Danio rerio: one gene and its partner. The protein of the gene in region 2 purifies or fractionates together with the protein of the main gene of each other region. This does not show direct contact. Links are inferred from orthologs where the notes say so. Each region holds a gene or a part of one and is shown on either strand. Other genes may lie near its edges.

Region 1 (6,421 bases), on a different chromosome or scaffold from region 2:
ATATGTAAAAAACAAGACTACAGAAAGGATTAAGTGATGGGTTTACATATTCCATCTAAAAAAAGTCAGTATTTTCGTAGGAATTGCCTTGACATTGTTACATTTGCTGTCAGAGAGGTTCCTAGTTACTCTCAGGATCATACCTGCCAACCCCTGTCTTCAAAATTGGGGCGTGTGGGGCTGGTCGGAGTTTGGTATTAGCATTGCTTGGGGGGTGGCGGTGTTTGTTTGTCTGAATAATACAGCTGAGAACTGGATTAGTAACTGTACTTTGGTGTTGTAACTCCACTATGGACCGGGATTCGGGCAGCTGCTGAGATCTGATACTATACCAAAGTTAGTGACCCGGGTGTGTTAACGTTACAGACTGTACAGAAAAGCTTTTTATAGGAGTTTTCTGGGAGAAATAACAAAACAGGAGGGTAGTGGGGGATAGGTTTGAACTATGGGAGACTCCCGGCAAAAACGATAGTGTTGGCAGGTATGCTGAGAATATACTGTTTTAGGGATTGTGTTGGAAATAAGTTTTTTTTTATAGCCTTCACGAAAGCAAGGCGCATGCTAGACATGCAGAGTAAAAAAGTGAAAGATAGACAAGGCAAGCAATGGCAGCCCCTGAGAAGAAAAGCAAGTGGTGTCAGAGAAGGAGAGAAATTGACGCTAAGCTCTGAAATACTCTGCCAAACACATCTGTAAATCTATATCTCACCATCTGAGCTAGTGCTACAGAAAATACGAGCTACATGATATCAAAGCTGGGCTTGAGCTTTTAAAACAGATGCAGGCATGCCTCTTTAAAGTGACCTCTGAACTGTCACTGCACACCACTTTTGCAGATCTGAAAGTATCTGTGTTAACTATGGTTTAATGCTTATATTTTTATACAGACTTTATTATTAGTTTAGAAAATACAGTTTATATAAAGGTATGTACAGTAGCATGCATATTTATGTGTTACACTGATCTGAGCTCTCCGTTCCAATAATAAACACTTGTTCTTGGTTGTTATGGCGACAGTACTCTTATTGCATTGGTACTGTAGTAAATGCAACAGCTTTTATATATAGTACCAGTCACACTGAGGAAATGTTAAATGATGTTTAAGAATAGAACAAAATAGTAGTATATAATCACCAGATGGACGTTGTGCTTAAATGTTTTCTGTTACCTCATTATTTCTAAAGAAGTAATATTTCATTTATTGGCTAAAAAGCTTAAGTCTGTACGAGGCGTGCACTTGCATACTGTTAGAGTGGGAATTGCTTGATTACTTTTACACAAGCTGAAAATTACATAAAGTTAAATGAAAGTAACCTGAGATTTGAGGACTTATCCCCAAGTTTAGTTGTACTTGATTTAAAAATTACTGTCAAGGCATGGTTACATTGTAGAAGGAACTGTTGTACCTTTAATACCTTATGTAATTGTGTAGTAATCAGTGTCTTGCTCTATATGTGTGTGTGTGTGTGTGTGTGTGTGTGTGTGTGTGTGTGTGTGTGTGTGTGTTATTTACCCTCTGCGAGTCTCATTTTTGCCCTGCTGCTACTGTCTAGCTTGAAATGGAGAAACTGCAGCTGCAGAGCCTGGAGCAGGAACACAGGAAGCTGTCAGCTCAGCTGAAGGATGAGCGAGAGAAAAACAAACACGTGGTGATGTCACTGGTGCATGAATGCAAGCAGCTAGCTGCTCGTGTGGTCGAAGAGAACCAGCGCTTTGAGGAACTTTCGTCCCGTACTGAGCAGGATGGTCGATCGGTGGGACGTCTGGAAGAAGAACTGGCATCTGAACGACGTCGTAGCCAACAGATGGAAGCGGAGATGGAGAAACAGTTGGCTGAATTTGACACAGAGCGAGAGCAGCTACGTGCCAGGCTTAGCCGCGAGGAGACTCGTGCTGTGGAACTCCGGGCTGAAAGTGAGAATCTCCGCTTGCAGGTGGAGCAGCTAAGAACTGAAAGATGCAAAGATTCCCCACCACTGCCTTCTGTTACCCCAGCATCTGTCTCTGTTAAACCCAAGGCTATGGTGTCTGTGGCTGTGGGCACTGAAGCAACTGTTTGCAAGACTGTCTCTTCTCAGACAGATGCACCGCTGGAAAATGAAGGAGCTAAGAAAGTGCCACTTTCCATCCCTGTCAAGCCTAGTGGCTCCACCTATGCTAGCATGAACCTACCTAAGACCTCCAGTGCAGGACGGGGGCTACACCATGGGAGCTCACAGGCAGAAAATGGAGGGGACGGTCAAACACATCTACATAGCTCACATTCACCTGGTGTATCTTCTACCTTGCCGACTGGGGTTAGTCCCCGCGTCCAGGCAGCCCGTTACAAATTCCAACCCTCTGCCTCAGAGCAGGACCAAAATGGAACCGCAAACCAGAGCCCCCCCTCGCGTGACCTGTCCCCCACAAATCGAGACAACTTTGCAGCTAAACAACAGGCTCGACACACTGTCACACAGGTTCTGTCCCGCTTCACAAGCCCTCCAGCAGGGGGACCCCCTGCAGCCCTTCGGCCCGGTCTGCCACATTCTACATCTGAGGGAGGACCCTTCACAGGACGTTTAGGCCACCCCCAGATAGGCCTTAAATCACCAACTGTGGCCCGAATCGACAGGGGTAACCCACCCCCGATCCCACCAAAAAAACCTGGACTGTCCCAGACACCATCCCCTCCACACCCACCAATTAAAGTAGTAGGTGAAGCTAGCAGGTCCCCAGGAACAGGACTTGGGGTGGGTCTTGCCAAATCAGCTACCACCCCTCAGCTTCCACCAAAACCCTCCTTAGATATGGGTGGTACAGTCCCAGCCATGACTGCGTCACAGGTGGGTGCATCCTGTTCTGGCTGGCCATGGGGGCAGCAGCCAACAGCAGCATGTGTGGAGTGTCCCCCTGTCATCACCTCCTCCACAGCTACCATTGTCAGTAGCCCCTCCATAAACCCATCTAGTCTTCCATCCCATAGCCCCCAGCACCTGGGCAGTCCCCTGGCAGCAGCATCAGGTAAAAGGGTGCTACGTTTTTCACCCTTGCTTTCACTACTTCTCTCTACTCCTCTCCCTTTTCCTACTTGATGCATTTATAAGTAAGTGCCAGCAGAGGAGGACATAGATGTGGAGTATCAAAGAGAGGAGTATTCATACTCTGATTACCCGTCAGTTGCCAGCAGTACTTATGTACAATGTGACCAAGATATGAACATTTGTTTTCTTGAGGGCAGAATTTTCGAATTCAGTAAAGCATTTTTAGATATAAATAGGTAATGTGGGCCCTCTCCCGAGGATGCAGGTCTCTAGGGGTCTTTCCTGTAACCCTTTCTGAAGCTGATGCCAGAGGCTGCTCTTTCCCTTTTCCTGTCATTGCCCTACAGCATGGTTCTGCCTTCCTGTGTTCCACCACTAACTTGATTCCCAAGTCTTAAACTAACAACTCCATTGTGTCCATGCCACTATCTGTTTCTTTCTATTATTGATAAAATTGATACTTGTGAATGTTGTGTTGTTCTCTGCATTTTTAAACATTCACTTCCATGGTTTTAAAAATTTTTGCTATTGACATAATGCACTGTTTTTGTCGTAAACTTGCACATAATAATGTTTAAGTCTCTATTTATTGGTTCTGCAATATATCATTTAATCATTTATATGAAATATAATGCACCATGTTTTTAAGAAGTTTGTAAATCCTTATCTTAAAGCAGAGGTGTCCAGTTCTTTTCCTGGAATGCCAATGTCCTTCAAAATCCATCTCCAACACACCTGTCTGGAATTTGTAGAGACCATGTAGACCTTGGCTGTTTCTCAATCAAGGTACCTCAGAAGAATGAACTCGGGAGACCACGAGAACATAGAATGCAGCCTGTGAGAAATGAGATGCTGTGTTCTTCATACAGCATACAGCAAGTTTAATAATAATTTTTATAAAAAATGTGGCAGTTTCCACCTCTTTTATTTAGCCGCAATGACTTTTGGGTCTTCTACAGCGAGTACTGTGCTCAAATCTGAGCTCAGTATCAAGAACTCATACGGGTTCTTTCACATGTCCTCCATTTTTGCAGTCTTAAGTTTTAGAACTGAACTTTGGCGATTAATGAGGATGTTACACAAAACACAAGGAAGCAATAACGCATAAGAATGCATATTGAGAAATAGCCCTCGATAAATTCTGGAAGACAGTAGGCCTACAGGAACATAATTGGACACCACTTTGAATAATGCTATCCCCCTAAAATACCAGCTTAGGATAAACATTAATGTCCTAGCTTTTCCAGCTGGCTAGTTCTGATTTGGTGTTCTGATTTAGCGTGGCTGGTAGATAGTAAACCACATGGTCTTCCTTGTAAAGTTTTTCTGCTTAAGCTAATTATTTAGTCTGGTGGAGACATCAGTACAGCAACTTAATTTGCTCTGGACGGACATCAGAAACATAAGGTAGTACTAAAAGTGCTTTATAAGAGATGCTGGTTAGAACCATGCATTGGTCTGTAAGCCAAATGTCTGTGACCGTTCCAACTGCAGTTAGATAAAAACGCTGTCAAAAACTTTAGATTTCTCTCACATTTTGAAATACCACACTGTCTCTGCAGGCCTCTTCGTAGCTCTCTGGGAGCTCCAGAGAAAGGCAATTGTAACATCAATGAAAGCAGAGCAAGTATTCCAACAGAGTCTTCCTCTTTATTGTCGCTAGAGACTAATCCACAGGGTAGCTCTGAGAGATGTTGGTAGCTAGCTGTCATCGCTAATTGCTAAATATTAGCACTTTTCTCCCTCTCTCTGCAGCCACTCGGCCATGGCAGTTCTCTGAGGCTTCTCTGCTCTCTCTGCCGCCCATTTTAACCCAGAAAAGAGCCAATTATCTAATGCTTCCACTGGACCCCAATGAAATGGCCTATATCTATCTCTCTCACTTCAACTCCCTCCACTAACAAAGATAAACATAGAGAATCCCTAGAGACAAAGCTATTTACAAACATGCCTTAGCATTAGCACTTAAGATACTAGATTAGTTACATCCCCATTGCAAGATTTGTTATTTGAATTCTGTTTCCACATAGGTGCCAGTTTACCAGTAGCCCTCCCTGCACTTTATTAAACTTCGTCCGTTTCTCTGCTGTAGTTTCCATCTTTCTAACACTCTTTAATTGACGTGACTCTTGTACTCAGCTCCATGTTTAGAACATTTCAGTTTGACTGACAGTTTATATTGCGTGACTTTGATTAATGTACTTTAAACCGCCTGCTGCATGATTTGATTTACGCAGTTACGTTTTGTATTTTATTTAATTGACAAAAAACATGAAGTTGACTTTAGCATATTAAAATGATTTGATTAATAGTATAGAGTGTGTGGATTGCTGATACACTCTAGAATAATACATTTCAGAAGTTGTGTCAAAATGTGTACATCACAAACATTTACCCTTTGTTCCCTGCTGAAAAATCCAGCTTAAACCAGCCTAGGCTGGTTGGCTGGTTTTAGCTGGTTGACCAGGCTGGTTTTAGAGGGATTTTGTCCATTTCCAGGCTGGTTTCCAGCCATTTCCAGCCTGGTCTTAGCTGGAAATGACCAGCCAAATCCAGCTAATACCAGCTTGACCAGCCTGGTTTAAGCTGGATATAGCTGGTTTTGGCTGGACTGCCAGCTTGGCTAGGCTGGTCAAGCTGGTTTTATCTGGTCATCTCCCAGCCTGACCAGCTAAGACCAGGCTGGAAATGGCTGGAAACCAGCCTGGAAGTGGCCAAAACCCCTCTAAAACCAGCCTGGTCAACCAGCTAAAACCAGCCAACCAGCCTAGGCTGGTTTAAGCTGGATTTTTCAGCAGGGTTTTGACTGAATTTTACTTCTCAAAAACAAATTCAGTATGTTCATCTATCTTGAGGGCAATTTGACTACTGAATTACAAAATACTTGTCTCAATCAGCATTGCTCCAATGGCACAGGCCTAAAATAATTTCTTAATGAAAAAGGGATTCCTTGGTCTGGGTAATGTTGTGTTTTAGGGAACACATTTAGACACAACATAAGCACCCTGCCTCACTAGTTACTGCTGTTGCTTAAACCCTCCCAGGCTGGTGTCCCTCCATAGTCCCCTCGCTAACCTGTGGTGACCCCGTCCCCCTGGATGACGGGCAAACCCTTCTCCTCCAAGCTGCTTCCCAGGGAAATGTCACTTTATTGTCTATGCTGCTTAACCAAGATCCACTATTGGATATTCATCACCATCAACATGAATTAACCTCTGCCTTGATCTCTGCTGCTCATAATGGACACACAGGTAAGTGCTTGGGAAATTTATCTTACATTTGCATGTATAAAGTTATGGGTTTTCATACTTAAGGAAGTATTTCATAGTTTCCAGAACTATTGGCTGAAGTACTTATTAGCATGTTAGCACTATATGAACTTCAAATGATTTTAGTTA
Region 2 (6,421 bases):
TCAAGGTCTGTAAAGTACTTTAAAAAAATGAAGGTCCTTGAAAGTGTTTAAATTATATTTGAAATGACATTAGTTTATGGTTTTATTTTAACAATTGTACTCAATTGTCAAAAAAGAATGATAAAAACAGAAATTATTTTAAAAATGTACATTTATTCTTGTACAATAGCACTGACAAATAATGCACATTTTACCAACATTTCAGAAACCGCATTTGAATGTCACCAATATTGAATTCAACAAATTTTGTTAAAGTTCTTTAAACAGGATTTTTTAATCGGTCAAAAAATGGTTTTAATGTAAATATTAGGTGTAAATGAAATGTTAAGCACAGGAAGGCCTTTCATATGCTGGAGTGTGAATTACAAAGTGCTTGATTTAAAATTAATGGTGCTTTAAAAAGTCCTTAAGAGTCTTGAATTTGCTGTTCACGAAAGCATGGGAACCCTGTAATATACAATACAGTCTGATATCTATTATATATTTTTTTTTACAATGGACCTTTTCACAAGAGTGTTATGACGCTTTTAACAGTCATCATAATCTTAAATTCTTGAAAGTTTTTCAATATTTTTATTTTTTTTAAACGTATGTATATTTATGTTTTTACATCTTTATTATATCTTCTTTGCATGAAATTACAAAAAACGAAATGCTGATAGTGCAAGGTGTTTGTAATGCAGCATCTATGGACAGGACAGTAAATTTAATGTTGTTCTTTCTTCTGGCTGTTATTAGTATCACACTTTTTTTTTTCTTTTTCTGAAAGTCTTCATAACACCATTGTGGTGTTTTTCTTTTGAGATTTCAGCAAATAGGATTGTAAAAAAAGTTAAAATTGTTGTACTCTCCATTCACTGTGCACTAAGTTTACCTAACTATGATGACTTCTGCTACTTAGAAACCAAAAAATGTGAAATGGATCTATTTGAAATATTAAATGTATATATAATGTATTTCTGTTAAAGTTTAATTTTTCAGCATACATTCTTCAGTCATGTTATTATTATTATCATTATTATTATTAAAAATGTTACTATTACTAGTTTAACCAGATATAAAGTATGATACATTTGTAATCTATTTATGTTTGATAGCTAACAGCTTTTGAAAACTAACAGTACTTTTACTAACAGTAATATTAGTGATTAATATTAGGGATGCACTTGGTTGGAAACCTAAAGACGTTTTATGTTAATGTTTATCACTGTTTTACATTTTTATAAATTTTAAATTTTCTGATTAAAATCAACAAAATTTGAAGGTTGAGACTTTCTAGTTGTTTCATATAAAAGCAATAGACATTAGACCTACCCATAAAGTCCACACATTTAACTGTTGTAGTTTGACCTTGTTATGTCAAGCTGAGCAATCAAATTGACCCATCAGAGAATCTCCAAATAAATGTGACTTTGTTTTAATCAACCACTTCAGTCCTTCAAAACCATTTCATCCTCAATCTGAAAATAATTTTTTCTAACGGAATATCCAGAAACATTTTAATGGTTGTATGCATGTATTTTTTTGTTCTGGAATCTCAAATGTGTTTGTTATCACTTTATTTTGATGGTCCCTTTAATGCATTTTGTTGAATTTAAGTTGCATTGCATCTATATGCCAACTAATTCTCAATAGGTTATAAGTAGTGTTAGGTTGGGGTTAGGGTTACGGTTAGTGTAATTTGACATGTACTTGTAAAGTTTCAAATAGTCAGTTAAATGTGTTGATGGAGCAGAATCAGCAGATATTAAGCTGAAAGTCTACTAATACTCAAATGAGATGTAATTGACATGTAGTTGAAATGCAACTTTTAGTCAATAAAATGTGCAATAGGGACCATCAAAATAAAGTTTTGCCATGTGTTTTATTAAACTTTTGTATTTTTCTGTTTCATAAAGAAGATACCAAAGATACAGAGGTCTCAGCTATACCACAGAATAGCCAGTTAACGTGGAAACAGGGCAGGCAACTTCTCAGACAGTAAGTTAGCCTTGAGTCATTATACTTTTCCTAATGACGCTTGTGCATTCCGTGTGTGCGTGCATTTCAGTTCTGCTAAGAAAGTTCATAGGCATCTGTGTTGTCACGTTATCACTATTTATATCACCGGCTCTGTTCTGACCGACTTTACGCATCTGTCTTTTCAAGATATCTTCAGGAAGTAGGTTATACGGACACAATACTGGACGTCCGGACGCAGCGAGTGCGGTCATTACTAGGACTGTCCGGCTCAGAGCAGAATGGTTCCGTGGAAACCAAGAACCTAGAACAAATTCTAAATGGAGGCGAATCTCCAGCCAAAAGAAAGGGACAAGACATGAAAAGGTGTTGATTGATTTGATTTGATGCAACTGGTAAATTCATATAAACAATTAAATGAGATTTCTTAACGTTGTCTGTGATGCCTTTTGTTTAACAGGAATCCAGAAGTTCTGGAGACATTTAATTTTTTAGAAAACGCTGATGATAGTGATGAAGAAGATGATGATGAGGGTGATATAATGGAGGATGTGCCTGACAGGAGCGATAAACGCAGAATAAAAAAACATAAGATTAAGGTGTGTAACCAGGATATTTTACATGTCAATGATCTCAAAGTAGTCATTCTCAGGATATAGAAGTTCATGTGTTGTAGTCTTGACTACTTTTCCAGGTCGGAAATGAAGGATTGGCTTCAGACTTGCCGGATGACCCTGACACAGAGGACGCACTCAAAGAGTTTGACTTTTTGGTGAATGCGGAGGATGGAGAAGGTGCTGGGGAAGCTCGGAGTTCTGGAGACGGCACAGAGTGGGGTAAATAGTTTGCTTTTTACTTTAATGCTGCTTTACTATGGTACATCACACTTTTGGGAGATTTGCACTGTGCAGAGTACCTGGTATACCTCTGTTGAGTTTTGAAGTGAGCTGTGCAGAAACTAAAAGAGAGAATCGTCACTACCTGCGTCATTGTAACACGACACAACAAACCTGCAAGATGTAAATAAATAGTCAGCATCAGCCGCTGTGGGATTATTTTCAATGACTGACACGCATCTTCTAATGGCTGTATCATGGTCAGTAGAGAAGGTGCAGACGTTCCTCATGTTGATATTCAAGAAGCAGATCCAGTGTGATCTGGATGTGGCAACCAGGAATTAGGTTACATTTTAGTAGATGCGGTGCAAAAAAACGTATAATCTCATCCACTTTGCTTTTTTTTAACCACACAGTGAAAAAGTGACTTAAGGCTACATTTTCTTGTCAACAATGTAACCAAAAACTGAAAACTTTTTTTACTTGCATTAAAAAAAAGTTTCACATTTACATATCTTTTTCAAAATACATTTATGAAAATGTCCTAAAACACTGATTTATATTTGGCAGAGCAGTATTTGATGTTTTCACCTTGTTAGTAGGGCTGCATAATGTTAAAAAAACTGATATGGCAATATTTAGTTTTGCTGCGATATAATATTGCGTTATGAATATAATCACTAGATTCACTGAATAGCTCCAACCTATTTGGAAAGATGTCATTCTTTGAGATTGACTGAGGTGATCAAATCTATTTCTATGCAGTGTGTCTAAATATGACAGAGTAAAAATAAAAGTTTAATAAACAGTGCTTTTTTTGTGGAGTCTAACAGTATTCAAATACAAAACCATACAAAAATATTGTACAAATCATTGTTTAAACCTTGTATGCAATAATATAAAAATTATATTCAGCATTTTCTTTATATTTTGATATTTAATCAATTGAATACTGCGATGTGACTATTGTGGAAAAACACATTGCGAAATCAATGCGCAAGCGGTATATTGTTCAGCCCTACTTGTTAGAAAATAGTACCCCAAGGAAGGAATGATGTTCAGTTGGCGGCTCTGCGCTGATGTTTATGTAGAATTCAAAGTGTGTAAGATGCGTCTATGCTGTTGCTTGTAATGCAAAGTAAATCCACACCTTGCTCCTGAAGCATTAGCCAACAGTTGAGCATCAACAACACTAGCATGTACTGTGCCACTGTTGTGTGTTTATTTGGGCTTGCCTTTAATCTGCATCTCCCTAAATGTGCACACACATGACGTCATTGTGTAAGCCCCAAAAAAATAGTTATTGAAAAAAAGGCGACAATGTTCTTAATAACTTTAACTTTGAAATCCATTTTCATATTTATGCAGGTAATGTCACAGAAATGCTAAACGAACAAGCAAAATACTTCAAACGTTTTGAGATATTGGCTGAAATTGTTGTCGCATAAAGAGCCACTAAGTGTGACTGAGTATAATTTGTGTTATTGAGTGAAAAACACAGGTCACATTGGTGTGCAAGTCTATAATTCATTCCAAAGTAGTATGAAATTGGCTGCCAGTAGCCCTAAATAAACTGAAATGCCTACAGACATTATAAACGTATATTCTACTATGTCACTCTACAACAAATCTTTTTAATAGTGCTCAGTACAGAAAAGGAACAATAGGTATGAAAAAACTATCAAGAATAAAAAGCAGTTGTTATGTCAGTGGCTGAAAGCATAATTCAATATAAATGTCAAGTCTAAACTTGTTTATTCAAAGCAAAACTGAAATGATTAGCATTATTATATATATATATATATATATATATATATATATATATATATATATATATATATATATATATATATATATATATATATATATATATATAAAATATGTGCTATAATCTAAATAGTTGTGTGTCTCATTCATCACCAATCCACCAATGCATTTGTTTTGCTCACCTCATACTAATTCCATTAAGTCACTTTGGAGTTTAGGTTGCATCCTTTTTAAATGAAAAAATGTCTTATATTTTGAAATACATAATAATTGTCAAGTGATGAAACAGGGCACATCTCTTAATATTCTTACAGGATTTGAGTGTTTGATTATTAAGCAGGACATCCTTATTAGTGTGTAGTATTGAAATATGGACTGAAATTTAAAGGTTCATCCAAACAAGAACTATTTATTATCAACCCAGCCTAGTGTTGATCCAGCTCTGTTTTTTATATTAGATTTTAGAATGTTCATTTATTTGTGATTGGTCAAATCAAAAGTGGTTTATATTGAAGACTTCTAAACAGGACATCATAGCACCATAGTGATGCTATAATTGTTTTTTTTTTTTATGACAACAGATTTTCAGCAGCCATTACTTGTCACATGATCCTTTAGAAGTAAATAAAACATATTGATGTGTTAATAAAGAATATAATTTTTTTATTGCCCCAAATATGACATTGTTGATTTTGACTTTTTGTGGTCTTACAAAGCTTGGAACATACAGGTGATGATGATAGTCCATTAGTAAACATTAGCATTAATGTTTAGTGTATGGAAATGAGCTGTTTTGACATTATGCAAGTTTGCTAGTCTTTTAATTAAAGAAAAGAGACTGCATAAATGTGAAAACATAATGAACTATATGAATCTGTGTCTGTATGGGCATGTGTGTTCCTTGCATGTGATTGTGGCACACACCGGCCCTGCAGTAGAATCTTAACGAGGCCAGTTGCTGCATCAGCATTCCTGCCAGGAGATTCTCTTACTGCTCCGACCAGAGCCAGCTGGGTCAAACACATCAGCTCATTACATCCATCCCGCAGCCGTGCTTTTTCTTTTTGTATCTCTCACTCTTTTTATCTTACTCACTTCTCTTTGACCTATTTCTAAGCTAAGGATTATGTAAATCTTACTATAGAGTATGCATTTTTGATAAAGTAGCATAATTATGTGTGAAGTGTCACCCCTAAATTGGGATGTTTATTACATTTAAACATTTGATCAATACGTGGTGTATTCCTGAAACATAAACTCTGTTGATTAACCCAGACTTTTGTTTCTGAACGTTTCTTCATTCCAAAAGTTTGCAAGCAAAGTTACCTTTTCAAAGTGAGCATTTTAACTCCAGGTCCAGGTGTATCATAATTCTTTCTTTTAATTCGTCACACCCATTGCGGCTTCATTAATAAGACATGCATGCACCTAACACCTCTAAAGTAAATTAAGCCGGAAACATAAACCTCTCTAAAGCAGTTGTTCAGAAAGAATTTGTAAGGAATATTTGGCTACAGATTGTACAAGCAGGTTTGTACAAGCAAGATTGTCCTTCAGAAAAAAGGATGTTTTTTTTTTTTTTACAAACAGTGTCTGACATAAGGAAGTTAAATGAGTAAAAGGGAAAGAACGGTCAAACTAAAACAGATTTCCAGAAGAAATGTTATTTAAGTAGCATTTCAAACCACATATGAATGTTACTTGAATAGAGTTTGTAAATATGTTTTTTATTTTTATATTTACGTTCACAGTAAAAATAAGTGATTGTGGATAGCCGGGCAAGTTTTTATTGGTCAAAAATGATTAAGTAGTGTGGATACTAGCAGCTCATTTCCACTGATTGTTACGGTCCGGTATGG

What was found. Proteins that work in one complex are often made in the same cells at the same time.
Region 1: the proteins of strn3 (region 2) and cttnbp2 purify together in Homo sapiens (affinity purification with mass spectrometry; 4 studies listed by BioGRID and IntAct, with this or other methods). This does not show direct contact. The link is inferred for Danio rerio from reciprocal best matches to the Homo sapiens genes STRN3 and CTTNBP2.

The regions. Positions count from the first base shown.
Region 1 is NC_133193.1:22,153,346-22,159,766, reverse strand, and holds part of cttnbp2 (cortactin-binding protein 2), read left to right. Parts: intron 1-1,553; coding exon 1,554-3,003; intron 3,004-4,778; exon of another isoform or gene 4,779-5,423; intron 5,424-5,821; exon of another isoform or gene 5,822-6,067; coding exon 6,068-6,274; intron 6,275-6,421. UniProt on the Homo sapiens protein: Regulates the dendritic spine distribution of CTTN/cortactin in hippocampal neurons, and thus controls dendritic spinogenesis and dendritic spine maintenance.
Region 2 is NC_133192.1:30,201,046-30,207,466, forward strand, and holds part of strn3 (striatin-3), read left to right. Parts: intron 1-1,898; coding exon 1,899-1,980; intron 1,981-2,148; coding exon 2,149-2,325; intron 2,326-2,419; coding exon 2,420-2,558; intron 2,559-2,653; coding exon 2,654-2,795; intron 2,796-6,421. UniProt on the Homo sapiens protein: Calmodulin-binding scaffolding protein which is the center of the striatin-interacting phosphatase and kinase (STRIPAK) complexes.